Linked DNA regions of Mus musculus: all the other regions are reported to be linked to region 4. Evidence: microRNA targets listed by miRTarBase, many of them from high-throughput screens and not tested one by one. Region 4 holds a microRNA gene; each other region holds the end of a gene's coding sequence.

Evidence for each region. The annotated mature microRNA mmu-miR-1195 reads UGAGUUCGAGGCCAGCCUGCUCA and lies in region 4 at 2,982-3,004, opposite strand. An mRNA with a match to its seed (bases 2 to 7 or 8) in the 3' UTR can be bound and repressed. Matches are read on the target gene's strand: a 7mer-m8 pairs with bases 2 to 8, a 7mer-A1 pairs with bases 2 to 7 and ends in A, and an 8mer does both.
Region 1: the mRNA of Zdhhc3 is a reported target of mmu-miR-1195. The part of its 3' UTR that is shown has no 7-base or 8-base seed match.
Region 2: the mRNA of Smco1 is a reported target of mmu-miR-1195. Seed matches in the 3' UTR shown: 7mer-A1 at 3,293-3,299, 7mer-A1 at 3,264-3,270, 7mer-A1 at 2,941-2,947 and 8mer at 2,912-2,919.
Region 3: the mRNA of Ctps2 is a reported target of mmu-miR-1195. Seed matches in the 3' UTR shown: 7mer-A1 at 984-990.
Region 5: miRTarBase lists Creb1 as a target of mmu-miR-1195. Seed matches in the 3' UTR shown: 7mer-A1 at 2,422-2,428.
Region 6: miRTarBase lists Dll3 as a target of mmu-miR-1195. Seed matches in the 3' UTR shown: 8mer at 970-977.
Region 7: the mRNA of Tbx20 is a reported target of mmu-miR-1195. Seed matches in the 3' UTR shown: 8mer at 2,157-2,164.

What each region holds. Positions count from the first base shown.
Region 1 is chr9:123,067,084-123,071,150 of GRCm38, forward strand. It overlaps Zdhhc3 (zinc finger, DHHC domain containing 3), which reads right to left. Exons shown (of 7, transcript NM_001372538.1): 7 at 1-3,535. The coding sequence ends at 3,278. Tgm4 (transglutaminase 4 (prostate)) reads left to right here. Exons shown (of 14, transcript NM_177911.4): 14 at 1-475. Among named protein-coding and RNA genes, the nearest start is that of Tgm4, 34 kb to the left of the region's middle.
Region 2 is chr16:32,273,482-32,277,548 of GRCm38, reverse strand. Smco1 (single-pass membrane protein with coiled-coil domains 1) reads right to left here. Exons shown (of 3, transcript NM_183283.3): 3 at 2,768-3,836. The coding sequence ends at 3,392. Rnf168 (ring finger protein 168) reads right to left here and starts at 88. Exons shown (of 6, transcript NM_027355.2): 1 at 1-88.
Region 3 is chrX:163,029,105-163,033,171 of GRCm38, reverse strand. It overlaps Ctps2 (cytidine 5'-triphosphate synthase 2), which reads right to left. Exons shown (of 19, transcript NM_001168568.1): 18 at 3,294-3,405; 19 at 1-2,058. The coding sequence ends at 3,336. Among named protein-coding and RNA genes, the nearest start is that of S100g, 67 kb to the right of the region's middle.
Region 4 is chr17:70,857,577-70,861,643 of GRCm38, forward strand. Mir1195 (microRNA 1195) reads right to left here and starts at 3,024; the gene lies at 2,927-3,024.
Region 5 is chr1:64,597,164-64,601,229 of GRCm38, reverse strand. Creb1 (cAMP responsive element binding protein 1) reads right to left here. Exons shown (of 9, transcript NM_009952.2): 9 at 1-3,996. The coding sequence ends at 3,852. Among named protein-coding and RNA genes, the nearest start is that of Mettl21a, 19 kb to the left of the region's middle.
Region 6 is chr7:28,290,522-28,294,588 of GRCm38, reverse strand. Dll3 (delta like canonical Notch ligand 3) reads left to right here. Exons shown (of 9, transcript NM_007866.2): 7 at 1-245; 8 at 464-548; 9 at 663-1,034. The coding sequence ends at 668. Selenov (selenoprotein V) reads left to right here and starts at 3,403. Exons shown (of 6, transcript NM_175033.4): 1 at 3,403-4,067. The coding sequence starts at 3,512.
Region 7 is chr9:24,721,935-24,725,995 of GRCm38, reverse strand. Tbx20 (T-box 20) reads left to right here. Exons shown (of 8, transcript NM_194263.2): 8 at 204-4,061. The coding sequence ends at 544. Among named protein-coding and RNA genes, the nearest start is that of Dpy19l2, 28 kb to the right of the region's middle.

The sequences.
Region 1 (4,067 bases), not on the chromosome of region 4:
ACCTGGGCACATGTCACAGGCAAACATTTCAAATACATATTTAGGAATTGTGGCCTCAGAAGACAGTGCCACCGTCATCTGGATTCAGAACCATGTACAGAGCCCAGATATAGAAGGGCTGGAGGCATCTTCCATCTAGACCATGGATTCTATCAAGTCCAGGGGTGCCTGGAGGCTGTGCTGGAAGTCTTATAGAAAGCATCTTGGAGCTGGTCCTGGGTCAGGCACTACACCCTCTTATCCCAAGGCTCTGTCCTCTTAGAAGCAGGCCCCACGCTGGCGTGAGGCCCTCTTGCTCTGGATGAGCCATGGGAGGTAGACCCTTTTTTTAAGTAAGAGTCTATGGCCAGTGACAACATCTGAAGAAGCAACGTATCCTGCCCTGTTCTCGGGAGTCTGTGCTTTGCTCTGCTGTTAAGGTATCTGCTCACATACCACTATGCTTTGAATTAAACTCTGGCAACTTTAAGATGGCTAAGTGGTCTGGAGTTAAATTTTCTTTTATGCCAGCATGCTGCTTAATTTAACCTCATTGCCTCTGAATTTCATGGATCCAGGTTGGCCTTCTTGGTCTGGGTCCTCTTCGTGATGGTCAACCTCTCTCAAGGGCTGTAATTCTAAGTGGACATGTGTTCCAGAGATACTCAGTACACACTGAATAAGGGGTATTTTGTGTATTTAAAGGCCATTCTTGCCTTAGGGTTTCTGTTGCTGTGATAAAACACTACGACCTAAAGCAACCTGGGGAGGAAAGGGTTAATTGCATCTGAGGGAAGTTAGGGCAGGACCCTAGAGGCATGGGCTAATGCAGAGGTCACAGAGGAGTGCTGCTTACTGGCTTGCTCCTCATAACTTGCCCGTCATGTTTTTTTCTTCCATCCAGGGGTGGCATAACTGACAATGGGCCTGGCCCTCCTACATCAATCAAGAAAATGCACTACACATTTGTGTAAAGGCCAATCTTACAGAGGCATTTTCTCAATTGAGATTCCCTCTTCTCAAATACCTTCAGCTTGTGTCAAGTTAATTTAAAACCTGTCATCTTTCCTTCATTCTTGAAACCAGAAAACCCCAAGTCCTGACTCCTTTTTGCCCAGATGCCCACCTCTGTGGCGTGCAGATGTCTGGTACATGCTTGTAGAATAACCTCTGTCTATGCTGGGGCCATGGAGGATCAGTTAGTGTTTGTGACACTTGTTTTACACACTAGACCTGAGAGGAAGGACGTTGTCCAAGGCTTTGGGCTAGGATCTCCTGCTAAAAAATTGGCGCCTCTAGCCACAGAGGTAGACCAAAGAACTATTATTCAAAGCAAGAGGCAGGTGTGCAAGCAGCCTCTGGCCCAGAAACACTGGGCCTCCTCTTATCAGCTGCAGTGCTGAGTAGAATCTCAGGAGTTGCCATAGAGAGAAGGCCATTGGGTTCTGGTGTGAAGGCACAAGGCCCAGGGCTGGACAGACTACTACCTACATGATCCTGGCTGTCCAGTACACAGAAGAAATATGGCTGAGGCCTGACATGGTAATGGGTTAGCTGAGGAGTATGGAGGACCTAAAACTGGGAGCAAAATGCACACTTCAACCTTTCCAGGAAAAGCACTCTGGAAACAAATGGCTGTGGGCTGGGAGGTATCTCTGCTGCAGGTCAAGCTGTCCCCAAGCAAGACTGGTTTTAGCCTCAATGTACAGGACATTCAGTTAACAAATCCTGACTCCAAAGCTCCTTCCTTAATTTAACTGCTGCTCCTTGGGGACCTAGTCACTAGCTCTGATTTCTCCCTGGTATGGAATCTCTGGTTATGGTCCAGCACCTGGGCCGTCCAGGTCTGTTTGGGGTTGGAGGCCCTACAGGTCTTTCCACATAGTGCCAAGATTAGGGACAACTTGGGTTCCTCATGTTATTGCTGATAAATGTTAAAGCAGACCTGCTTGGAGGAAGTGCACTTGCAGTGGGGTGGAGTAGGCCACATCTGCTAATGCTGAAGTCCTGCTGACACTGTGGCACTACCTAGGATGCTGCCCAAGAATCAGACCACCACTTGGCTCCCCACAGCTTTCCTTTCTCAGGGTCCTGAGACAGTACCTCGATTGACTCGTGTCATGGAGGTCACAGGTTCCACTGGCCCAGGACTCCTGCCCTTTTGCAGAGCTAGAGGAGCTGTGATACAATCCTCTGCCAGGGTCAGTGGCAGCCACGCTGGGGAATGGTTCAAGGGGTGAGTTGAGCTGGGTGTGTTTCTTGAGACTATCTAACTGGTTAGACTGCAGAAGCTGCCGCTTCAGCCACCACTGCAATGGACTGGGGAGTGCAGGAGCCTGCCCAGACTATCAGTAACAGCCAGATACCTCAAGCTCCAGTGGACAGACTAGGTCCAAGCTCATCCTGGGAGAGCAGTGCCTGGGGTCTTCCTGGCTTAACAGTCTGCATGTCCTGGCCACCATGCAGTTCTTCATTGTTTTTAAGACAGGGTTTCCCTATGTAGCCAGAACCATGTGGACCAGGTTCTCCTCAAAGCAACAGAGGTTTAGTTGCCAGCTCTAAATGTTGGGAATAAGGCATGTCATTAGGACTAGCAATGCAGTTTTCTGTGAGGCACCATTTTGGGCGCTGCTCTAAAATGCAAAGGAGGCCATTTCTGGTTGCACCTGTCCCCATGTCTTACAGACTTTTTCCAGGAGTTCAATATATGTCTTCACCTAGCTCTTCTAGGATGCATGCTTGTGGCTATAGAAAGGCTGACTGCCTTGTTGTCTCAGGGAAGAGTCTCGTATCTATAGGATGGCGATACTGTCATGACTCAGGCTCATTTCCATTTGGGTAGACTCTGTACGTGTGTATGCATGCATGCATGTAGGGTGCTCTTTCAACCAAGCCCAAGCCCTGACCGCAGGCTCAGCATACCCTCCTTTGTTGATTTCGAGTCAGCCAGCCAAGGAATCCCTTTCCTGGAAATGGCTGGAGTCTCTTTAGCCTTCCAGGCTGGTCTTCCTTGATGTTAGAGCATTCCTTCCCCAAGATCCCCAGCCTCCCCAAGACAGCCCTCAAGAAGCAGAAGTGGATCCCCCACCCCGACATCCTGGTCACCATTTCCTTTGCTGGATCACTTTTGGCACATCCTGTTAAGAGGAACTCAGAGAAAGTCCCTACTCTCCTGTACCCTCTATTGCCCTTCCTATCCCCCGACCCCAATCCTAATGGAAAAAAAAGTGTGGGGTGACAGAGTTGGTAACACTCATCAGGGTAGCAGCCACTGTTGGTGTCTTATCCTCCATGACTTCTATTCATCCAGCACCTCCACAGAGTCCCTGTCTTTTGTCGCCTCCAATTGGCTCTCAGCTGTTTCCATGTTGTCCACGTCTGACAGAGATGACACTTGACGTACCAAGCCCTTATCAATGGGTGTCTCTGGTTGACAAGGTCTGGTGAAAGGGTTGAACCAGTTCAGGGAAAAGTTCCCACCAAAAGCCTCCTGGACCGACTTCCAGCTGCCCGACTGCTCCCTGGGCTGTTTTGTTCGTTGGAGGCGTTCAATACCCTGAAGGAGAATGGGCAGAAGGTCAGTGTACTACATGAACACACCTTTTGCCTTGGCAGAGCAGGGGATGGGAATTTCAATATGGACGGCACAGCTTGCTGCGGCCCAGGCCACTTTTGAAGTCCCTTAGGGCTGCAGGGCAGAGCAGAAACTGTGAAGCAGAACAAGCGGGCCTGGCATTGGATTTGCCTGTCACCCACGTACTGCCAGACCCCTTCCTACAAAGGCAGTGGTCTGCTCCTGGGCAGGGACCAGATACCCAATGGCCAAGTATATCTTGGCTTCTGTAGGCATGAGCTAGACTATCACCTATGAAATCACTAAGAAGGGGCTGGAGAGATGGCTCAGTGGTCCAAAGGTCCCATGTTCAAATCTCAGCAACCACATGGTGGCTCACAACCATCTGTAATGAGATCTGATGCCCTCTTCTGGTGTATAATAATAAATAAATAAATCTTTGGGTCGGAGTGAGTGGGGCCGGAGCACGCAGAGGTCCTGAGTTCAGTTTCTAGCAACCACATGATGGCTCACA
Region 2 (4,067 bases), not on the chromosome of region 4:
GGCCGCGGCCGGAGCAGGTACCCGGGCTCCACGGACGTCACAATTCCCCGCCAAAACGGCACGTCTTCCCCCAAGGAACCGCTCAGTCGGGCGGGACTTCCGGGAGCTGCGTCTGCGTTCCCGCCTAGCCTGCTAGTAGCAACTCCTCCCGCTTTTGGTCGCTCGGCTACTGTAGGCTGCAGAATCTTGCTTACTCAAGTAACTCTCTAAACCAAGATCCGAACAGGAATTTTTGTAATTATTCTTTCAGTATTCTTTAGGCTACCCTTCTCCTAACAAAGCTTTCTAAAGTTCTTAGTGCTAAAAGAAGAAATTACAACAAATTTACCTTAAAGATTTTTCTTAGCATTTATTTGCAACACTAGCATTTTATAGAATGAGCAGCAGATATTGGCCTTATAGACAAGTGACGCTCAAGGAGAGCAGCAACAAAGAGTTACACCTGTGGTTTCAAAGAATCCTTGTAAAGGTTAAATAAGGTGGGGGTGATATCCTTATGGTACTGGCTAAAACAGCAATGTAGAGATTTGGCTGTTATTGCTTTCCCTCTTGTTTTGGGGGTGCTTGGCTTGGGCCCTCTACCCCAGACTTTAGCATGAGTAAATGCCTATTGGGTTTGGTATGTGGAGTCTGAAGAACTCAACAAGAGACCCATTTCTATAATCAATCCCAGCATTTGGGAAGTAGTCACAAAAGGATTATTATAAACTAGCCTTGGCTACATAACTGGTTCCAGGTCAACCTGGGCTATATGAGACCCTTCCTCAATTGGTCAGCTGGTTCCCAAAACATTGCAGGCAGAGGCAGGAGGGTCTCTGTGAGGTAGAGATCAGCCTGGTCTATACAGTGAGTTTAGTAAGAGACTCTGTTTCAAAAAGGAAGGAAGGAAGGAAGGAAGGACCTCTGAACTAGGCATGGACACGTGTGTCTTGTAATTGAGGCATTTAGGTAGCAAAGGCAGAGGCAGAAACAGGAGGACCTGGAGTTGGAGTCTGTGATGGTTTGCATATCCTTGGCCCAGGGAATGGGACTATTAGAAGGTGTGGCCCAGTTGGAGTAGGTGAGTCACTATGGGTGTGGGCTTTAAGACCCTCATCCTAGCTGCCTGGAAGCAGTATTCTGCTAGCAGCCTTCAGATGAAAATGTAGAACTCTCAGCTCCTCCTGCACCATGCCTGCCTGGATGTTGCCATGCTCTGGCACCTTGATAATGGATTGAACCTCTCAATTTGTAAGCCAGCCCTGATTAAATATTGTCATAAGAGTTGCCTTGTGGCCAGGCGTGGTGGCACACGCCTTTAATCCCAGCACTCGGGAGGCAGAGGCAGGTGGATTTCTGAGTTCAATCCCAGCCTGGTCTACAAAGTGAGATCCAGGACAGCCAGGGCTATACAGAGAAACCCTGTCTCAGAAAAACCAAACCAAAAAAAGAGAGAGAAAAAAAAGAAAGAGTTGCCTTGGTTATGGTTTCTGTTCCTCAGATCTGTGACAACTTGGCATTTATACTTCTTTCTGTGTCACAGTCCACTGAGGTCTTCAGCTTCCTTTCTAACGACTTAAGGCCCACAAGCTTGGCAGAAAGTAGCAAGACTGTCCTGGAGCTGTGGCTGAGACACTGACATAGGTGCTGGGAGTGGAACTCTGGTCCTCTGGAAGAACTATACATGCTCTCAGCCACTGAGTCATCTCTCCACCCCTATTATTTCATGCTTTCAATTGATTAATTGCCCTTCAAAAGGCATTCAAAATTCAAAATGTTCAAATTGAGCAAGCAGTCTGACTCTTCCTAGGGAAATATAAAGAAATGTCTGTTTCGCCTAGACAGGGCAAAGACAGACCAAAGAAGAGATTCCAACCAAGTCCAGCGTGGTGAACCAATGAGTTCATTGGTCTTACAGGAGCATGGGTGTGGGTTACTTACAGAGGCATGGATGACTTGAAGGCAAACCATCTAAAATCCCCACCTCCGTGTGGGGATGACCCCCAAAGCTGCACCACTGCATTCTGAACCCCAATCAACTGCCCACCTCCTGTACAGTCTAGCGTCCCACCTCCTGTACAGTCTAGCGTCCCACCTCCTGTACAGTCTAGCGTCCCACCTCCTGTACAGTCTAGCATCCCACCTCCTGTACAGTCTAGCGTCCCACCTCCTGTACAGTCTAGCGTCCCACCTCCTGTACAGTCTAGCGTCCCACCTCCTGTATAGTCTAGCGTCCCTGAAGATTAGGTGTGGCTGGAGCAAGAGTATGTACAGCCTAGGTCTGGGGTTGGAGACTCAGGGGAAAGTAGCATTTCCCTTTTCCATCAACGAGGAAATGGCAGTAGGACTGATCTCATGACCCTGTGCTGTGGCCAATCACAGCTTCTCTGATTCGAGACAATGATGTCATGTCCTGTCTAGAGAAGTTCTACTAGCCAGTGAAAACAATTTCTTTCCCTTTGACTCTTAGATTCTTAGTCCTCTACCCCCACCCCCCCCAAAAAAACCCCACATCACTTAAGTATCACTGCAGAAGTGGATATATCTAAACTTATACACAGTATCCTTTGAAGATATTATAGGTATGCTGGGCAGCCATGGCTATCCAGCACTTGGGAAACAGAGGCAGGCAAATATCCAGGTTTAAAGCCAGCTGAGGCTACAGACACAGAGAAACTATGTCGTGAACAAAAAATTGTGTGTGTGTGTGTGTGTGTGTGTGTATAAAATTGTTTTTGCCCCTTTTTGTATATAACATTATAAATAAAACACCAAATCTGAGTAATGATTCCATATAAATTTCTTTATTATGTATTTGGTGGTATCAGGGATTGAACTCAGGGCCTCATACATACAAAAAAAAAATGTAGCTGGGTGGTGGTGGCGCACGCCTTTAATCCCAGCACTCGGGAGGCAGAGGCAGGCTGATTTCTGAGTTCGAGGCCAGCCTGGTCTACAGAGTGAGTTCCAGGACAGCCAGGACTACACAGAGAAACCCTGTCTCGAAAAACCAAAAAAAAAAAAAAAAAATGTACTCTGGGCTACACCCCAAATTCTACTTCATTATAAAATATTTGCTTCTTTTTCAAATATGGCTACACACACAATGTACATTGTATCCATTTGTCATAATTTCTTTAATGTTCCTTCCACTTTTGCTATAAAATAAGCCTATAAAAATTAAATTATGCATTTTTTTGGTTTTTAAAATACAAATGACCGCCGGGCAGTGGTGGCGCACGCCTTTAATCCCAGCACTTGGGAGGCAGAGGCAGGTGGATTTCTGAGTTCAAGGCCAGCCTGGTCTACAGAGTGAGTTCCAGGACAGCCAGGGCCGTACAGAGAAACCCTGTCTTGGGGGAAAAAAAATACAAATGACCGAGAGTGGAACTGCTGGGTCAAAGGTAACAGGTTAGTCTTTAACTGGGGGCATCAACTCTTTTAGGGGTGCCCTTGAGTTTTCAGGGTCCTGTGCTTGTTTCCCCTTCTCGATGATCTGAACAGCTCTAAGCAATCCATCCTGTAGAGCCTGGTTCTTTACCATGTTGGTGATCATGAAGGAAACATCTTTGATGTACATCCGTCTTACGTTGGCAGCATAGTGCTCTCCTTTGTTGCCATGTACAATGAAGAAGGTACAGAGTGCTGAGACATCCCTCTCCTGCAGCCCGTACTCCTGCAGGACAGACTCCCACACAAGCCTAACATGCTTGTTCTTGGCTTTTCTTCTAAGGACAGAGGCTAAGGTCGGGAGACTTCTCACCAGGTCTGGGAGTTTCTGAAGCATTCGAGTGTGCAAGCAAATAAGGACCTCGATGACATAGCTGTATACAATATTCAGTTCCATTGAGGTGAACCTATGAAAAACGGGCAAAGCTCCTTAAATGGAACATTTCATGCACAAACAAAAGCTGCATTTGATTATGTTGGTGCAATGTAAACCCTCTAGAAAAAACAGCTGCGAATTTCGGAAGTATGACCTGCACCAACTGCATAGCCAAGTTCCCAGGCCACCCATAGGGGGCGCTGTGCATGGAGCAGGAACTTCTTTACTCCCTTCCCATCAGTAAGACAGCAGGTAAGAGACC
Region 3 (4,067 bases), not on the chromosome of region 4:
ATTAGGGCAAATAGCTCCCCTGGCTAAGATTGCCTACTGGGTCCCCAGTCTGATGTCTCATCTTACTATACGCCCTCACCCTCACCCCAGCTAATTGTTTCCCAAGAGTCTTCTAGGAAAGGCAACCACAGAATCCACTGTAGCCAATGAAGTTAAAATGTTCCTCCTGCTACAAAAAGTCAATCCTGCCTATGCCCCCTTAGGTCCTGGGCACAGAGCCTATCCACACTCCCTCCTGTCCCTGTTGTCCCTCTTCTTGAAGAAAACAGCCAATGACAGAATATGTCAACTCCCTACTTCTAATCAGTCCTCAAGGACTGGAAAGAAGGGTTAATGATCTTTAAAAAAAAAAAAGTCTCCAGTGGGCTGAGAAACTCTGGACTGGAAAGTTGACTTTACTGATAAACATCCTGAGGGTGGGGGTCAGGAGTCAGGATGCTCCTGATAAGAGGATCAGCATACCAACCTCCCCTGCTATCTGCCACTTTGAGCCTTCGGGAAACTGAGCTTTGAGCTTGCAGGTGGAATCTTCCATGCCCAAAGTCCTCTTTTCTGTTCTATGAAGTCCCCAACCCTTCCGTGCCACGTGCGCACAAGTGTTCACTCCCAAGGGGAGACAGGTGTCCTTCAGCTGTTTTGGTTAAAGTACAAGTCTGCCCATGTAGAGGTTGGTCTGTGATTTCTTTTATTTCCAAGTTGCCCTGATCAATCTGGCTGTAACTGTTGCCAGGGGATGCGCATAGAAGAATGCCTCCGGAGTGACGGCTGATGGGAACAGAGGTTATTCCTGGAATAATTTCATAAAACTGAGAGCTGTGCACTATCAATAAATGACACTGCATACTTCACTTTAAAATTGTTATTTTTTCCAATTAAAAAAAATGTTAGCCAAGCGTGTTTGTATACAACGCCTTTAACTCCAGCACTTGAGAGGCAGAAGCTGGCATAACTTTGTGAGTTTGAGGCCAGCCTGGTCTACATAGTGAGTTCCAGGATAGCCAGATCTATGTATCGAAAACATGTCTCAAAAAAAAAAAACACACAAACAAACAAAAATGCTGATCTTGAGCAGAGGAGACCAGGTCACACCTATAATCCTAACTCATGGGCGGTCGAGGCCGGAGGATGACAGTAAGTCAAGATTATAGTGGACTGCACAGTTAGTTCCACGTCAGCTTGCACTATGCTGTGAGATGCTGTCTCAATAAGAAAAAGACAAAGCAACAAAAAAGACATGAAAATAAAAGAGGGACTTATTTGAGAAGAAGGGTTTCAGTGAGAACAGGATGAGAGTGTAATAAAAAGATGGGGCAGTGACTGGGATATGAAAAATAATAAATAAACAAATAAACAAAGAAATAAATAAGGTGCTCTGAAAAGATTAAAATGACTAAAATGATTCTATATATGTATGAAGTTGTCAAAAGAATAGTAAAAAGTAATTTGAATTAAAAAGGAAATTTTTTGTTTTGTTTTTAATGCTCCTTAGGTTTTTTAGTGTCTACGTGTCTATGTGTGTGCATGCTGGGGTCAGAAGACTCATGGAGCCAATTTGCTCCTCTGCGTGGGTTGAAGAGATGAAACTCGGCCCAACTTATCCTGATTCCTGAATTTTCAGATCCTCTTTCCCTTTCATATTTGAGAAAATGGATGTATTGGAAATAAACAGAACGAGAACGTGAAATAATCTTAACTCCCACATTAACCTACAGACCCAACCTTGGTTACAGCACATGCCCCTTACCCGTGTAATACTGTGAAGGCAAAGTTCTCCCCACCCCCTTCCTGCTCACCACTTTGAACTCACTATGTCCTGGAGAAAACACAAAACCACTTTCTGCCGGGCCCGGGCTTGCTGCTGAATTGCGTTTAATTAAGGATAGAAATGTGTGACTACTACAGGCTGCCTCTGGAGGGAAAAGAAAAGGACCCCTTTGGTTCTGTTGCATGAAGTAAACATTGTCAGATTCTCTTTGAATCTTCACAGCCCATGTCTAGGGAACAGTGTGGTGGTTTCTTCAGACAATTCCTTCATCTTCCGTATAATGACTTCAGAGGCTTAAAAAAAAAGGCAAGTATTAGTTACATCAAACAGTGAATAATACACACCTTTAAAATCATCCCTATTAATCTTTACAACAGTTTAGTTTGTTCCTGAAGGTCGTCATCTATAATATCATCCCACTTGTCCCTTAGATAAAGAGAACAATATACCGAGAGCTCACAATAGAGTGACACAACTCTTTGTGGTTCTTTTGTTCTTGCTTTGCAATTCTGGGAATTGAACTTGGGCCCCAGGCAAGCCAGACAAGCATTCTATCACTGTGCAACTGCCCCCACTGAACAGAGCAGTGAGCTCTTGACAAGTTGTTCAAAAGCAGTTGTTCCATCTAAATATCTGCATATCAACTCAAGGTCTGCCATAACCTCTAGAGTCATCCCAAGTGACATGTGTCTCCAAGTATAAACTTAATGACACTATCCATGATGCTGTCCTCTCTTAGAATACAGAATATAGTAACAGAGGAAATAAGCTGCCGTTTAAAACCAATCCTATTTCTAGCCACTTCTTACAAAGAAACAATACTATCTTTTAATTTTAATTTTCAGACTTATTTCATGTGCATGTGTGCTTTGACTGCATATATGTATATACAACACAGTGTGCCTGGTGCTGTCAGAGGTCGGAAGAGAGCATCAGATGCCCTGGAACTACAGTTACAGCTCATTGTAAACTGCAATGTGGGTGCTGTGAACTGAACCCAGGCCATCTGCAAGATGCACATGTACTCTTAACCAGTGACCCAGCCCTGCAGCCCCAGTATTATCTTACTTTATACAAAGCCAAGAGAATCTGCTCTGCTATGAGTGACCTATGACACATTCAGCCAGATAGTTTTTATTTTGTTGAGTTTTATTTTTAAAACTTTTTAAGGACTTATTTTATGTGATGAGTGTTTGCCTATGTGCATGTCTGTGTGCCATGTATGTACCTAGTACCCACAGAGGCCAGACAAAGGCATCAATAAAATAGCTTAGAACTGGAATTGTAGATAGTCATGAGCCACCCCATTTGGGTACTGGGAATCAAACCTGGGTTCTCTGGCCAGTGCTTTAAGTCACTGAGTCATTTCTCTAGCCCCCTATTTTATTTTATTTTTTTACTAATATGTATGTGTATAAATGTGTGTGTGAGAGAGTCAGCGTAAGCACAACTGGGCCATAGCATGTGTGTGAAGGTCAGAGAACAAATTCTAGGAATCAGTTCTACCTTTCCAACAATGAATTCTTACCCTCTTAGGTAGCTTCTGCTATTCCTGAGGCAAGAAAGAGCTTCAGTTGAGATCCAGTTCAGCAAGCTTTGCCTCTGGAAAGCTGTCATCGCTGGCATCACTGTATCCATCACTAGATTAACAGAGAAAAGTCACTCAGCAAGATGGTGAAAAATGCCACAAGTAATTATTCAAGTTTTAGCTCCAAACCTGTTCCATAATTATGACCCATGTAGAGGAAACACTAAGGACTATTCTATGATCACTTTGGAGTCCAATGACATGCAATGGTTCTTTGCTCAGAGAAAGTGATCACCTACGTTCATCCCAAGTCACTGGAAAATTTAGGCATGTGTTTCATAGGTGGAAACATATAGTATGAAGAGTGTTAATCAGCTGCTCACTTCTACAAAGCCTTGGCTGCTCTACAGCCTGCCTGTGACGCGCTTTTTACCAGAGAAGTTCTATTAGCAAACTGGCTTCATATGAAGCCTGGTGCCAGGAGTGCTGGCTCACACTTGTATTCCTAGCACTTAAGAAGCTGAGGCAGGAGGATTCCCAAAGAATTCTAGGGCAGCCTGGACTATTGCAAAACCCTGCGTCAGAGAGAGAGAGAGAGAGAGAGAGAGAGAGAGAGCCATAACACCCTTAGGAAAATGGGTGCAACTGGAAAGACAAATGTTGTATGTTTTATCTTCTTTGTGACTCCTATGATTTTACAGGAAATATAAAATCATGCATGTATATATGACAGAAAAGAAGTAAAACTGTCCAAGGGGACAAAGATAACTAATG
Region 4 (4,067 bases):
GGCAATCCCTTCATATTTTCTTCAGTGACAGGAATGCTTATTCCCTTGCAAGCGACATGAATAAATTTTATTTTTACATTTATTTGTTGATTGCAGTGATGGGGGTTGAACCTAGGACTTCCCTATTACTAGGCAAGCACTGACCACTGAGCCACACCTCAGCTGTAGCAAACTTGATGTTAAAACTCTGAGCCGAGCGTGGTGGCGCACGCCTTTAGTCCCAGCACTTGGGAGGCAGAGGCAGGCAGATTTCTGAGTTCGAGGCCAGCCTGGTCTACAGAGTGAGTTCCAGGACAGCCAGGGCTACACAGAGAAATCCTGTCTCGAAAAACAAAAACAAACAAAACTCTGACATCTATATTACTTTTTTTTTTTTTTTACTATACTTGATATAGAAAGATTGGTACATTCCACTCTCATTTTGAAAGCTCTCTAGCATATTTAAAGAGTATATAACATACATATGTACTGGTCCTCAAGAAATCCTTTCCATCTATTTATTTGTTTGTATGTTCACTCGTTTGTTTGTTTGTTTATAGACAGGTTTTCATGTATCCCAGGCTGGTCGGGAACTCTCTAGGTAGCTGACAATGTCCTCGAACTTCTGCTTCTCTTGCTTCTACCTCCTAGGAGTCAGGGCTCCAAACCTGCCTTACCATGCCTACATCTTTTTTTTAGTGTAAAACTAGAAATTAAGTCCAGGACCTTCCTGCCTGGGAGGCAAACACTTTGACTGAGTGAGCTAAATACACTGTTTTTAATTATGTGTCTATGTGTTTATGTATAGATGTATGCACAAAAGGTTTTGTGCACACACCTATACATGAACACATAGGTTTGTGTATAAGTGTGTATAGGTGTATAACACCTATATACACACAAGGTTTCCATGGACATGGCCATCAAGAGCCTCCCAACAAAGGTGCAGGGAACTGACTCCGATGATTTGCAAGAACATTTCAATCACAACCACTGAGCTACCTCTCCAGCCCAAAACCTTTTTTTTTTTTTTTTTTAATTAAAACATTTACTATTGTCTTTTATATGTGTGTGTGCCCTCCCCTGGCACTGAAGTTATAGAAGTTGTAAACCACCATGTGGGTGCTGGGAATCTATCTCTAGAACTGCACCCCATGACAACTAGCTGCTGAGCCTTTCTCTAGCCACCTCTCTCATCTTGTTTTTAGTAAAATCCTAAAGAGATGTGTAATCTCAGATACAATGTTCACCATTCCCAGAGTGGTTTTGCGTTTTAACTTTTTTAAATCGTGGATTTTTTCCCCCTTTTCTTCTTACTCTATAGCTCAGGCCCAGGATGGTGTGGGAATTTACTGTGTAACCCAGACGCTGACCCTGCCTCCTGCCTGAGCCTGCTAAGTGCTGGGGTTACAGGCGTGTATCACCCACCACCTAGTTCTCTGAGGAGGTGGAATCCAAGCTCTGGGCTCTGGGAAGGGCTCTACACACTGTGCTGCACACCACTGGACTGGAAAGCCAGTGTGTACTCTGGACCCCTGAACTGTCTTCCTTCATCTACAAGCTACTGCTTACTTCTATTGTTTGATATAAACCCCAGACATCACATCACTTCTGGATCAGCAGTTATGATTAATGTTCTAGCTTGTCTGATCTGTAGCTCTGAACTTACTCACAAAAGGGCTGGGTCTGCAGGGCAGTGGTGGCGCATGCCTTTAATCTCAGCACTTGGGAGGCAGAGGCAGGTCTGGTCACCCCAGAATTATACACCCCATTGTCTTTTGCTGTTTTCTGCTTCTAAGGCTAAATGTTTCTCCAGAGAGAACAATTACTTTTCATCTCTAGTTGGCACTTTAATGCTTTTAGTTCTAATAACCCATTATTTAGGTTAATAAAGAGATAAAAAATTGCTCCAGCAGGCTTACTCTTTTTTTTTTTTTTTTTTTTGGTTTTCCGAGACAGGGTTTCTCTGTGTAGCCCTGGCTGTCCTGGAACTCACTCTGCAGACCAGGCTGGCCTCGAACTCAGAAATCTGCCTGCCTCTGCCTCCCGAGTGCTGGGATTAAAGGCATGTGCCAACACCGCCCGGCAGGCTTACTCTTCAATGTGCGTTTCTATTCTTTCTGCTGGCACCCGACACACTATGTGCTCAGTTTGTTCTGTGTTGTTTGATTGATGAAATACACTCGAATCTTCACACATTTTTTTTTCCTCCTGTGGTTGGAATTGGATAGTTATTGTAACCAAAGGCTCCACAAAAAGCAATTTAAGGGAAGAAAATTTTATTTTGTCTCATGATTCAAGTGACCATGGGCAAAAAGACAAAAACCTTTATATTTTTTCCTTCCTTCCTTCCTTCCTTCCTTCCTTTTTCTGTAAAACACACACACAGAGATATGGGAGGTGTCCTTCAGGCATGTGGAGGTCAGGGGACAGCTTTTAGGAGTCTGTTTTCTCTCTGCACCTTTTTTGGGGGATGGAGTCTCTTCTGTTGCTTCTCACTGAGTAGTGCTCTGGCCTAGGTGGTCCGCAAGCTCTGCTGATTCTCCGTCTCCACTCTCCATCTCTTTCTGAGAGCACTGGGTTACCGTGGCACACCCTTGTACTCGAGTGGGTGCTGGGGATCAAACTGAGCTCAGTCAGGCTTGTGCACCCAATCAAGGCCAGTGCTTTAGACTGTCCTGCCGTCTGTCCATCTCAAGAGGGCATCTTCATTAAATGGCAAGAAATTAACATTGTGCTCATGAATAGAAACAAGTTTTTAGCTTGACATTTTAAATTTCTACAAATAATGCAGGCTTGACTGTGTCGTGTGTATAAGCCTTGTGTGTGGTGTTCAATACTGTGTAGCTACTACAGCTTCCCCTCAGAATGTAGACTGTTCTCTCTCTCTTTTCTTTTTTCTTCTTCTTTTTTACTTTTTCTTTTTTTTTTTTTTTTTACTTTTTACCTTCTTGAGACAGGGTTTCTCTGTGTGTTCCTGGCTGCCCTAGAACTCATTCTGTTGAGCAGGCTGGCCTCGAACTCACAGAGATCTGCCTGCCTCTACCTCCCAAGTGCTGGGATTAAAGGCGAGCGCCACCACAGCCCGGCTGCCTGGCAGATTTATTTATTTATTTATTTATTTATAACCTTGATCTCATGTTTAAGGTGATGTGTCCCAAACTCTCCACTGTGGGCATTATGTTTTCCTTTATGGTTGATAAATCTATCAAATGTATCAAAATAGGTGAATGTCCTGTCTTTGAAGCCTTCAATCTCAGCCTCCTCACTCCATCATTCCTTCTCCATTGCTTTGCTGTGTCCTATGGTAGGGAGAGCTGCCCCTCCAGTTGTCTGTGCTGCTCTGTCTACTTACAGGACATTTGGAGTCCTGGTTTATTTAGTGCATTAATAGCCTCTTATTATTATTATCATCATCACCACCACTATTGTAAAAATTCTTGGATTTACCCAGAGGAAGTTCCTCAAACTGTTTTTTTATTAATTTATTCTTTGACAATTTGATATATACACAGTGCATTCTGATTATTCTCCCTGTCTTCTCATCTTCCCCTCCAGTCCCTCTGACATGTTCATGTCTCTCTCTCTCTCTTTTTTAATATTACATGTTTTGCCTGAATGTACTCATGTGCCCCATGTGTGCCTGCTACCTGCAGAGGCCAGAAAAGGGCATTGGATGCTTGGAATTGCAGTTTGGATGGTTGTGAGCCCCATGTGGGTTCTCTACAAGAATAACAGGTGCTCTTAACCTCTGCACAACCCTCGAGCCCCTTCATGCCTTCTTGTTTTGCACCCCTTGAGTCTAACCACAGTGGTTCACGTGCCACTGGGTATAGAAGCATTCGCTGAAGTTGGTAGACTCACCCAGTGAACACACAATTGAAGGCAGTGACTGTCCCTGCCCCAGCAGCAGCCAGCACCAATAGTCCCCAAACCGGTTTCCTTGTCCTCTTGTACCATTCTTGGAAGATTTTCTTACCGTCTGGGACAGTGGCGTGTCTCAGGTGCATGCTACACTTCCCCTGCTCCAGTCCCCAAGCCCTGGACTGATCATTTTTCCAGCAAGTGCTGGCTATTCTTGTAGAAAA
Region 5 (4,066 bases), not on the chromosome of region 4:
TTGGAGGATGAAATTTAAAATTATAAGTACTTATTTTTCCTTCACTATTAGTCAAACCTAATTCCCAGATATTTAGCTTTTATAACATGCTTAAGGCTAGCTATGATACTGTGATCAATGAAACGCTTCCATTAAGGAGTCATGATTTGAAGGAGGAAGACAAAAGGGTCAGCTGAGAACTCATTGATAAGGAATTTCCCAAGTTGCTGATACCCAAACTGGGTCCTTAAAAAAAAGTGCAAGTTACAGCAAACCTTTACAAAGAACTACTGTAAATACAACCTCAAGTCAACATACAGCCTGTGTACTGGGCCCCGGGATGCTGTGCCAATCCAGAGTTTCAGTGTTACAAAGGCAGAACAAAAGCCTCTGGAAGGAACTGAAAATGAAGCAGCTATTGGTAGAGAAACCGATTTGTGTTACTAGCTGACGAGTCAACAGAGAACCAAAGCTTCCTAAACAGGAAAGGCAACATTTTGACTGAAGTCACTTCAAGTACGTAAAAGCATTCCGGGTTATATAAATGTTTGTTTCTAAGCCCCAATATTTGTATGATTCCATGTCACCCTAAATGGTCGAAAATAGTAGGGAGGAGTCCTGAGAGGCAGAGACCGGCTTCAGCCAAGAGGGCTTCTGGCTGGACAGCCTGCCTGACTGGTTTGTGCTTTAGACAGTAGCACTGCTTGCTGGCCTACCATCAAAACACATCTTGACAAAAATCCCTGTTCAAATGAAACATGAAAAGTCTTTGCCCAAAATGATTCTTGAAACAATTCTCTTAAAACCTTTTTTCAAAATGTTCTTACCAATTTTATAGCTGCCAGAAACAAAGCAGGGGGAAAAGAGCTTGGGGTTTAGGAGTTTTTAAGTGACTGGTAACATACTCAAAAGCATCAAGCCAAACAAAACAAAAACCTAATAAAAAACTGGAAGAAAAGAGAAAACCCAGTTGTGAGTGCTGGAGTAAAACAGTCACTGAAACACCAGAAGAGATGCAGGAGAAAGCACAGCAAAGTGGAATCTCACCGGACCTCAATACGCTATAATACTCAGCATTCCTGACATACCAGCTCTCAGAGCATTTAGATGATATACTGTATGTATGTATATATGTACACATATATTACAAAATGCCACGTCCCCACCCACACTATACCATCTAAACAAGCACAGCACCTAGGACAATATGATGGTTGCTAATATGGTACTTGCTTTTGATAAAGAACTTAAATTGTATCTCATATCAATTTTTTAAATATGAACATATTGGATCTAGCCCTTTCTAAACCATTTTTCAGTTAAACACTATCAAAGCTTGAAAACTCAGAAGAGTAATATATCAAAAATAAACCTATCCCCATTTCATTTTTATTAGAGTTAATCTGCCCTATAGATAAAAGTGCCACTATATATATGCAAAGTGAGCAGTACCAAACTTCTATTCTCTAGGCAAATCAGTAGCATATGTACAGATTCCTATGACAGTTCCATTCCCTTTTGGCCAACATGAAGAGAAAACATTACCGATAATGTGGCCACATACAATTTTGGATATAAGAGTTTTTAAAAAATTATGTCATTTTCTTAATAAAGATTCTCCACATAGCTCAAAAACAAGTTTTTGTTTTTGTTTTTCTCATTCTCATGTTAAAAAAAAAATCCAGCTTGCATTAAAGAGGCTTTGATTTCTTTCTGTATGAACTGAAATTTCAAAGTCAGGTTTCACAACACCATATATTTCTCACATTATCAAGTAACTGGTGTCAAACTAGTACAGTCATGCTCCAAGCATAAAGACCCAGGCCTCTGTAAATTAATATCCATCCAACTAGGAAGTATGGCTGAGACTGCCTTGGTCTCTAAAGGGTTAAGGAGACCACCTGTTTCCTCATTATGTAGAAAACCTCGACTTTTGAAGATAGACACTTAGAGATTACAACTTCTGCACGCTAGGCAAATTTTCCACTTGTGACATTTAAAATGTTCAATCTGACATTCTGACTTAATGTGAAGTAATTCCAGTTTGTTGACAGATTTGTGATTCTGCTTCCTTTTTGTTTCACCACGTTTAGCAAATGATACATCTACTTGCTAGCACAGACAGCTTTTATGCTATCTCCTTCCCAGCAAGCTCAGCAGGACAAAGATCAAACTTTAGCCGTTTGAAAGCCTTCTGGAGAATCTGGTGAACTGTCCAGACAGAAGGATTATTACATCACTCAACTCCTAGAATCATGTCCTTCACAAACTGTTCATCCTTGAAAAAAGACAATGGTTTGTTATAAACAACGTAGAACATTTACAGATAGCAACCTAGTCTTAGCTTAGAAATGGGCCAAACAGTTCCCGCTCATACGTATACTGATATTAATATTAACTTTCTTAATATCCCAAAGCAAATATAAGACACTCTTCTGAGTCTGAGTTCTTCCTCAAACGTGAAGTAACCTAACATGCCAGCCTCCACTGTCCTCATATTTGTCTTTTAAAGAGGTAACTCTTAGATTTTATTAGGTTTAATAAAAAAAAAATGAGTTATTACTAAGTCTTATCAGAAACAATGTTACACATAAATGTAGACTATAGGTAAGGATGTAAGTAGAAACATCTTCAGAAACAGAACAGCTTTTGGATAGTTAAAGCAGTACCACCTTTTTTAGGAGAAAAAAAAAAGTGTTTGCCAAATATTGTACCATAGCACACACTCCAATGTCTGAAGGAAATTACTTTTCTTGTGTGCATTTAACACAATGTTTTAGAATCACATCCTTGTAACTTCTTTGATTTAAAAAAAAAAATCCCAAGAGATTCTCTGATAAAAATATGACTATAGAAAAGGTTGTCTATTTAGTACTTTCCATCACTTTGGCTGGACATCTTGAAAACGCTCCTGTTGGCTGCACAGTGTAAATGCAGCAGTGGACTAGGTAAATGAGTGACAGTATGAGGATTCGGAAAGCAAGGACAAAAGTCTTTATTTATTAAACACCTTATTGTATAACTCAAGGAGTTAGCTTCCTGGCCAGCACCTACTCATTAAGACTTAGTACTCACCAGAATAAGCTTTATAGTATGATTTTAACTTAACTCAAAATTCAAAACCATGCTTTCCATTCAGTTGGTTACTTCTGTTAATGTATTCAAACTGCTGAACACACAGAACTGAATGAAGAAGCAACAACTGCCCTACAGAGGAACTGTAGCCAATACCGTGCTTCTCAGCACCAAGGACAACTTGTCAGTGCTGAAGAAAGGAACATACATATAAAGTTTACTCCCAACACCACACTAATATCCTTATTTAAAGGATGTTTTTAATAGTTCGACATAATTCACAATGAAAGTGTAAAAACATTAATTTGGCAGTCAACACTTCTTCATTGCACCTTCCTTACTTTCCTGTGTGGCCCACACATTACGTCAGCTCAGCAGGCTGGGTAACTGTCCCTAAGGCAATCATGGAGCTCAACAAACCTTGAAGTCATTAATAAGAAAACAAACAAAACAAACCTAAAACAAAAATAAGAAAGCCAAGATTTCATTTTCCTCATTTCCCCCAACAATTTACAAATAAGCAAATGATTACTTCTTGAGGGTGGTGGAGACGGAGGGCAGAAGTCTCTTCATGATTCCTGGCGCTGCACATTTCTTGAGGGCAGAAGTGGAAGTAGTTTTTGGAACATTCACAGTTTAATGCAAAAGCAGAAATGAATGAAATTCTGTAGTTGCTTTCAGGCAGTTTTGCGCATAGAAAAAAAGAAATGTTTAGAAAATAAATGTTTACTTGTCTTTCTGGTTGTGGCCAAGCCAGTCCATTCTCCACCGTAACAGGAGAGAACTTAAATCCCAAATTAATCTGATTTGTGGCAGTAAAGGTCCTTAAGTGCTTTTAGCTCCTCAATCAATGTTTTGTTTTGGTTTTCAAGCACTGCCACTCTGTTCTCTAAACATTTCACATATTCTTTCTTCTTTCTACGACATTCTCTTGCTGCCTCCCTAAAAATGAAAAACACAAAAAAATTTATGTTCATAAACTCCATTCCACTAATTTTAGAACAGAATGTTT
Region 6 (4,067 bases), not on the chromosome of region 4:
CCCGCCGCCCCGCGGGGCCTGAGGCAGGCGGATCCACAGCGCTTTCTTCTGCCTCCCGCCTTGGGGCTGCTGGTGGCCGCCGGTTTGGCTGGCGCCGCACTCTTGGTCATCCACGTTCGCCGCCGAGGTCCTGGCCAGGATACCGGGACTCGCCTGCTTTCTGGGACCCGGGAGCCTTCGGTCCACACGCTCCCGGATGCACTCAACAACCTGAGGTTACAAGACGGTGCTGGGGATGGCCCCAGGTGAGGGCGACACACCTTGTCACTGCGGCCAATTGACTGGTCTGGTTCTATCGGATTGGACTTTCTTACCCAGGTGTTCTAGCCCTAGCCCTCTTCTGATGGGGTCATTGCAGAATTCTCCCTTGCCAGTCTGCGGTTTCCCTCTTTGATGGGTGTGGGAAATAAAAAAATGAGAATTCGTGGGGTCTGAATTGTCCCCCGTTTCTCTCCTCCCACAGTTCGTCGGCTGACTGGAATCATCCTGAAGATGGAGACTCTAGATCCATTTATGTCATACCAGCCCCTTCCATTTATGCACGAGAGGTATCCTCGACCCACGTTCCCACGTTCCAGGCTTTGGACACTTGGCTCAGTGGCAGCCAGCTCCTCCCACCCTCAATATCTTTTCTAACGCTTCTTTCTCATTTCTTTTTTCAGGCCTGATCCTGCCCCTTCTCTATCTTGTCCCTTCTCTATCATCGCCTGGAGATGGAGCCTGAATGATTTTATTTACTTTGTGGTGTCCAATCTCTACCTCCCCCTACCGACTGGAGACTCTTTGAAAGGGCTTTATTGTACATATTGCTTATTTATAACCTAGTTTTTCTCATCTCCCCAGAGACATCTATAAAGGTTCTTATTTTGCTCAACCACATCAGGCTGAGAACTTTTTATTTTCCCAGGATAGAGTTTCCTCTCTGTAAAAGCCCTGGCCAGCCTAGAACTCTGTAGACCAGGCTGGCCTCGAACTCACAGAGATCCACCTGCTTCTGCCCCCTAAGTGCTGGCATTAAAGGCGTGCACCACTCCAACAGGTGAACTTTGTTTTTGATGTTGAAACTAAGAGAGCTGTCTCATAAGGGGAATAGTAGGTTTTTGTTGTTCTTAAATTGAGACAGCATCTTGTGATAGCTTGGAGCTCATTGTATAAACCAGTAGCTCTCAACTTGTGGGTTGCAACCCCTTCGGGGGTTGAACAACCCTTTCACAGGCGTCACACATCACCGATCCTGCATATCAGATATTTACATTATGATTCATCACAACAGCAAGGTCATAGTTATGGAGTAGTAATGAAATGGTTTTATGGTTGAGGGTCACCACATGAGGAACTGTATTGAAGGGTTGAAACATTAGGAAGGTTGAGAGCCACCTCCTTTCTTCTTTCCTTTCTTTCTTCTTTCCTTTCTTTTCTGTTGTTTTTTTCTTTTTAAACAGGTACTTATATTATATGAGGGCTCTGTCTTCACACACAGCAGAAGAGCACATCAGATCCCATTACAGGTGGTTGTGAGCCACCATGTGGTTGCTGGGAATTGAACTCAGGACCTCTGGAAGAGCAGTCAATGCTCTTAACCGCTGAGCCATCTCTCCAGTTGTGTTGTTTTTCAACACAGGGTTTGTAGCCTTGGCTGCCCTGGAAGCCACTCACTCTGTAGATCTACTGGATTGCCAACCAAGCTAGCATCAAACTGCAGCAGCTTTCCAGCGTCTGCATCTTGCACACTGGGAATTACAGGCAGGCACCACCACGCTGGACTAGGCCTGGTCCTTTGATAGAAGGCTCACTAAAAGTTTTTAGGCTTGTGGTTATGCTGTAGCACAGGTAATTAGATTAAAATATAATTAAAATTAGCCAAGAGATTCTGGCACGATGGCACATGCCTTTAACCCCAGCTCTTGGGAGGCAGGAGCAGTGGTTGTCTGTGAGTTCAAGACAAGCCTTGTCAGAGCGAGTTTCAGGATAGTCAAGGATCCATAATGGGACCCTGTCTCAGAAAGGGGGGGAAAAAAGGCTGAGGCAGGAGGATTGTAAGTTTAAGGCTAGCCTAAGCTATATAGCTGTGTGTCTTTCTCAAAGATAACAGAAAGCAAAACAAAACAAAAAATACGTTTAAAACCCAGCCAACTAGAGAAGGGGATGTGCCAGGGTCCAGGTCAATTCCTAGTCCAAACATCTGTGTGTTCTTCCTGTGGAAGCACCCACTGCACTGACGTCTGGCAACACAGCACGTTAATGGTCACGAAATGTACATTGCATTCTGGGGCCTAGAGTCTTCATGAGGTCTTGGTCAGGCAGATAAAGTTAATAGCCCTCCTGGGGCAGAACTGACACAATGTGGCCCCAGGCTGTCATCACTATCCACGTTATTGTGGATTGGCTGGTCTATGTATGCCCCACCCCCCTTCCAGAAGGATATTCCCTGGCTTAGAAATACTGCCCCAAAGCCACAGGCAGAGGCTGACATCTCTTGAGACATCAACAGGGTTATGTGCATCCTGAGGGTTTTTTTTTGGGGGGGGGGGTGTTGGTTGGTTTTGTTTTTTTTTTTTTGTTTTGTTTTTGTTTTTTTTTTTTTACTTGAGAGTGATTTTAAACTTTTGATCCACTTGCCTCCTGAGTGCTGGAGCTACAATCCTGAGTCAACATAACTGGTTTGTGTGGCACGGGGGACTTGGACCCAGGGCTTTGTGAATGCTATGAAAACTCTATTAACTGAGCCACAACCCCTGTTAAGTCATCCTTCTGTGAGCCTCAGAATGAAGTCTAGTCGGCCTTACATGGTCACTGTCCCTGGCTCCAATCCTTGTCACCTCTGCCTTTTGCCTATACTCCACTTCTCAAACTTGTCCCCTTTCCTGGTGCCAGCTTCCACTTTATCTCCCTAACTCGGGTTCCACAGGATTGGTTGATCCAGGTCTTGTTCTAGGAGCTGGGGATACAGCATGAAGAAGACAGAGTCTCACTTTGACCACTCCCCGGGAGTAAATTGGATTATTTGTGTGGGTTGTCGCTATTTTTCTCCGGACCTCGTATCCTGCAGAGAGGTGCCTCCTTTCTGAATTATATGGGTGCTGGTATTCTCCACTGCACTGACGGTTTTAGGCTGTCACTCTCATACTGGGTGTGACCTCCTATCATGGGCAGGAAGCAAGGAGGGCAGAGATGCATTGTCCCCGGAATCCCCAGCGCTAGGAGGGCGCTTAATGAACTCAACCAGCTAAACGCATGAGTGTCAGGGTGGCAATGGGAAGCTCTAGGCAGAGTTGGCTCCTGCTGGGTGGGGATAGGGACAGGGGCGGTGTCTATTCGGTGAGATCTGAAGACAGCAGCGCCTCCCTGGCGCAGAGCTTGGAATCTCCGCCTGACTGGAACCCGGTGTAACAGTGCCTGCTCGTGGTTGCTTCGGTTTTTAGAATCCTCGGGTGCGAAAGCTCTCCTCGCTCAAGGAAGCAGGGCGAGGCGGGACGCTTAGCCTGGGGTACCCGGGTCTCACCTGGTCCCCATGAATAACAAGGCGCGGGTCCCCGCTCCCTCCTCAGTCCGGGCAAACACCCCGGCCCGGACACCCGCTCCCATCCGAACCGCGACCCCAGTCAGGGCCCCGAACCCAGCGCACAACTCGACTCCAGTCCGAACTTCCATCCGGGTCCGGGCTCCTGCCCAAGTCCCTAACCCTGTTCCAATCCGGTTCCCAACTCCAGCCCCAGTCCCTGCCCCAACCCTAACCCCAGCCCCAACTCCAGCTCCAGTCCGGCATGCAGCACCGGTGCGGACTCCAGCACCAGTCCGGGCCCCGAATCTAGGTCGGGTCTTTCCTAAGATCTCTCCAGGCAGGTTCTTCCCGAGCTTGGCCTCGCCCACGGCACAGCCCCTTTCTTCCAGGGCTGCTAGCGCTCTCTTGAAGGATCCCACACTCGCTCAAAATCAGAAACCCTCGATCCACAGCCTAGCGGAGGCCATCCAGGGGCCCCTTCCAGTGCTCACTCCCTCGTCCTCCAAGACACAAGGCTCCATACCGGACACCGCCTCTCCCATAGACTCCTTGGCTTCTACTGCCA
Region 7 (4,061 bases), not on the chromosome of region 4:
GCAAAGGAAGGCAAGATCTCTGTCAGTCTGAGGCCAGCCTGGTCTACATAGTGAATTCCAGGATAGCCAGAGCTACATAGTGAGACCCTGTCTCAAAACAACATCAGCAGCAAGAACTACAACAAAAGAAAATAAACTGATCATTAGTTCTTTATTAGTATATTGAAGTAGCAACTTGAGTCTAATGAGTGTTTTTCTTCTAGGATCAGCCTTTACAACATCTGACAATTTGTCTCTCAGTTCCTGGGTATCGTCATCTTCCAGTTTTCCTGGATTTCAGCATCCACAGCCCCTGACTGCTCTTGGTACCAGTACAGCATCCATAGCGACACCGATTCCTCACCCTATACAGGGTTCTCTGCCACCATATAGCCGCCTGGGAATGCCTCTGACCCCATCTGCAATAGCCAGCTCCATGCAGGGAAGTGGTCCCACGTTCCCTTCATTCCACATGCCTAGATACCATCACTACTTCCAGCAGGGGCCCTACGCTGCCATCCAAGGACTTCGCCACTCCTCCGCTGTGATGACGCCATTTGTATGATTCCACTGAGAGTCGGGGAAGCTAGATACAGAGTGTGCAAATGGCTATGAAAATACAGGAGGGGTGGGAAGTAGGGTGGGTGGGAAGTGGGGTATTGGAGCAAGGACTCTCCAGGAAACACAGGACTTATTAAAGGAAAGAGGAGAGCTGGACTCGCAAAACACGTACTCGCAAGGGAGTGCACCACGGGCCGGGCTTCATCTGTGATTGGATCCAGGGAAGAATCAGCGTGAAGTATATTCAGCATACTCCTACAGCTAATGGGCTATCAGTTCACCCAGAAAGCTTAATAATCCTAGTGCTTAAAAGTTTTGTTGATGCAGCGCTGTATAAAATCCGTGTGTAGAGGTTTCTTTCCGCTTTCAACAGGTTCAGAGCATCATCCAGAAGGCAATACTATATAGCGTATTGACAAGACTAACTCAAGCCCACTTCTCCCAGTAGGAAATGGAAGCCAGTCGTGATATGTTTGTAGTGCTCTACTTTAAGCATGTTTAGTTTCTTTTGTGTCAGTTTGCTTGCTGCAGACGGGGCAGAGTTGGTGCTAGTACGTCCTGTGGTGTGAATGAATATGTGGTAACACATTTACCAAGTTCCTGCCATATCCACAGGCCATGATAACATAAACTCTGTCTTCCATCCCCTCTCTTTTTTTTTTTAAAGCCTAATAATTCTTTTTCCTGCAACAACTTTGCAGTTATGCAATGAAAACCCTCTACATGCCATTTTAAAACAAGAAGCTCTCTCATTTTCAAAGAGGATGGCTTCTGGGGGGCTGCATTATCAACAGGCTGCTGACAGAGCCACCGAGGACCCGTCCAGAGCCCGTGCATGGTGATGGCTGAAGCTCTCCCTCACACATTCAAAGTCTGGTGTCTCTCTTCTGAGGGAAATTTCTCTGCCCTGGGAACCAAAGTCCTCTTCATTTTTCACTCCAGCGTCAGCAAGTCTCTTGTATATTAAAACACACTGGGCCAAATTCTGATTTTTTTTTAAATATACATCTGCTTTGCTGCTGTTTCCATCCTTGTCAGGGATTTGCCAATGGCCACTCTCCATATGCATGCTTCACCATGCTCTCATGTATGCTTATGGGCATGTACATGCCCTGTAGTGGGTTTCTCCAGTCTGACTGTATTACATTTACAGACTTCTTTTCATTTTCCCTGGTCCCTAATATGAAGCTGCATGTTAATTCAATGACTCCCTTACAGAAATACTAACAATTCTTACCGGAATACAAGAGCTTCATCCAGTTTTTCCTATGTTCTTAAGCTTTCCTTCTATGTGTAAACTAGAGTTTATGTTTTACTTCTGTATAACCACTATGTTATTTTTGAGCAACATGTATCTTAGCATTTACATTCAGGATAACACATATGATATTTTACAATAGTACATTTCCCTAATAATATAGATTTATTAAAGTCCTTAGACTTTCAGCTTTGAAGACAGTGTGTTCCACCTATAGGATGTGACCAGTTTGCTTTATGTAGGTTGCCTGAATTTATTTTAGTTTCAATTTTTTTTTCTTGTTTTTGTTTTTTGAGACAGGGTTTCTCTGTGTAACCCTGGCTGTCCTGGAAACTCACTCTATAGACCAGGCTGGCCTCGAACTCAGAAAGCAACCTGCCTCTGCCTCCCAAGAGCTGGGATTAAAGGCGTGCATGCCACCAGTGCCTGGCCTAGTTTCAATTTTTTAATGAAGTTTTTATTCTACTCTGTTCTTATTTCAAAAGTATTGACTGTGCTTAAAGATACGGGAAATCTCCTGACAGTAGAAATGTGTTTAGGAGTAAATGCCATATACTTACCACATCACTCTGCTGTTTTATTTGGTAGCTTTAATGTTAGGCTTTTCCATGCGGGATGAATTCCAAGGCCAAGTCCAGTCTATGAAACAAGGTACCATACCCAGTCTGAGCATGGGATGCTAGTTTTAGGTTTTTGCACTTGATGTTCTCCACCAAAAGTCCATAGTTTACTTACAAAGAAGCATGAACTGTTAAGGAAATGATTCTAAACTCTCATGGCAGACACTGCAGGTGAGTGCAGCTTCTTGTGTGCCTTGTAGTAGTATCCACAGGTAGTTGGTTTCCAGACAAAATACAGATGTGCATTTCTCTTAAAAACCCATTGTGAGTGGTATTTAAAATAAATGCCCATAGAGCAAGGGTAAGGGCTTGATATTTAATAATTGGCCTCTTGCAAAAGAACCTTGGAATAAAGTGCTACTATTTAAAGCAGGAAAGAAACAAAAAACAAAAAAACTGAGGCACGACTGTGCAGGGTGCCCCTCATCTCTCCCCTGGTATATGCTGAGATTCTAAAGTGAGATTCTAAACACATGCCTGTGTTTTCTTTTCCATGAGAATGAAAGGATTGTTTTAATATTGTTTTTGAATTTTTTTTGAACTGGTGTGCCTCACAGTTGGTTTTTTTTTTAAATTGCTGTTAAATATGATCTTTTGTTGGTATTTCCTGACCTTATAATTTTGCTTGAGGATGAAACTCACTGAAATGCATGATGACAGCAAAGAGGGCTCTTGAAAATGTTCTCCCTAAAAGTCTTTACCGGGTGTTTGCTTCCCCTGTTGGTATTATGTAAATCAGACAGAAACCTCCCAAGAGAAACAGCACCATGTGAGTGCCCTGTCACTTGACCCTGGGACCACCAGTGCCTTTCTGACTTATTTTGGCAGTTAAATTATTATTAATCCTTGGGGAGTTTACAACTTAAAATCCCAAGGTCTGGTTAACAAAAACTGATGGCAATAATTAGATATTAATTGATAAATCCAATTGAATAATAATAACCAAGACTTAAAAAGCATTTGGACTAATTCAGGTCTTCCTCCTATGGCTATTACATTGTGATAAAGCATGGCGAAAGAGAGTGCTGTTGAAGAGGCCCAGCCAGGCTTGCTTTACTGAGCTCTAATGGACTTGCTCATAACTCAGGAGGTTCTCACTTATGCTCTGGTTTTAAAATATTCCTCAATAATCCCAAGTTATGGTGTGCCAATCCCGTATTAAATGAACCATACCACCTGGTTCCTGTCCTTAGCAGTTCATGTGGAAATACTTCCAGTTGTGTGTGACACATCAACAGTTGTCAGGTAACATTGTCTAGCTCAGTGGCTGTCTGCTCCATTGCTGGCACAGTCAGTTAACAGCACTGGACTCTCGTCTAGAAGGTTATCAGCATTTATGGTGAGTGCTCCAAAGAAGGCTCTTTATATAGGTTCATCGTCATGCAGAAGCCTTGTGTATGAACTGCACCAACTTCTGGGGCATTCTAAGATCTTACCTTCTCAACCACTGGATAAATATCTGTCCCTTGACTTCTCCACACAGCATACTTCTTCCCAGAAGAAAAGGGAAAATGAATCTGTCACAAACCCAAGAAATAATCTTAGCAGTAAAATGTCATGTCTTGTACTGCCTATGAGCATTTCAGGGAGATGTTAGGATATTTATCCTATTTCTCAATTTCAGATTAACTTTTTAAGCTACA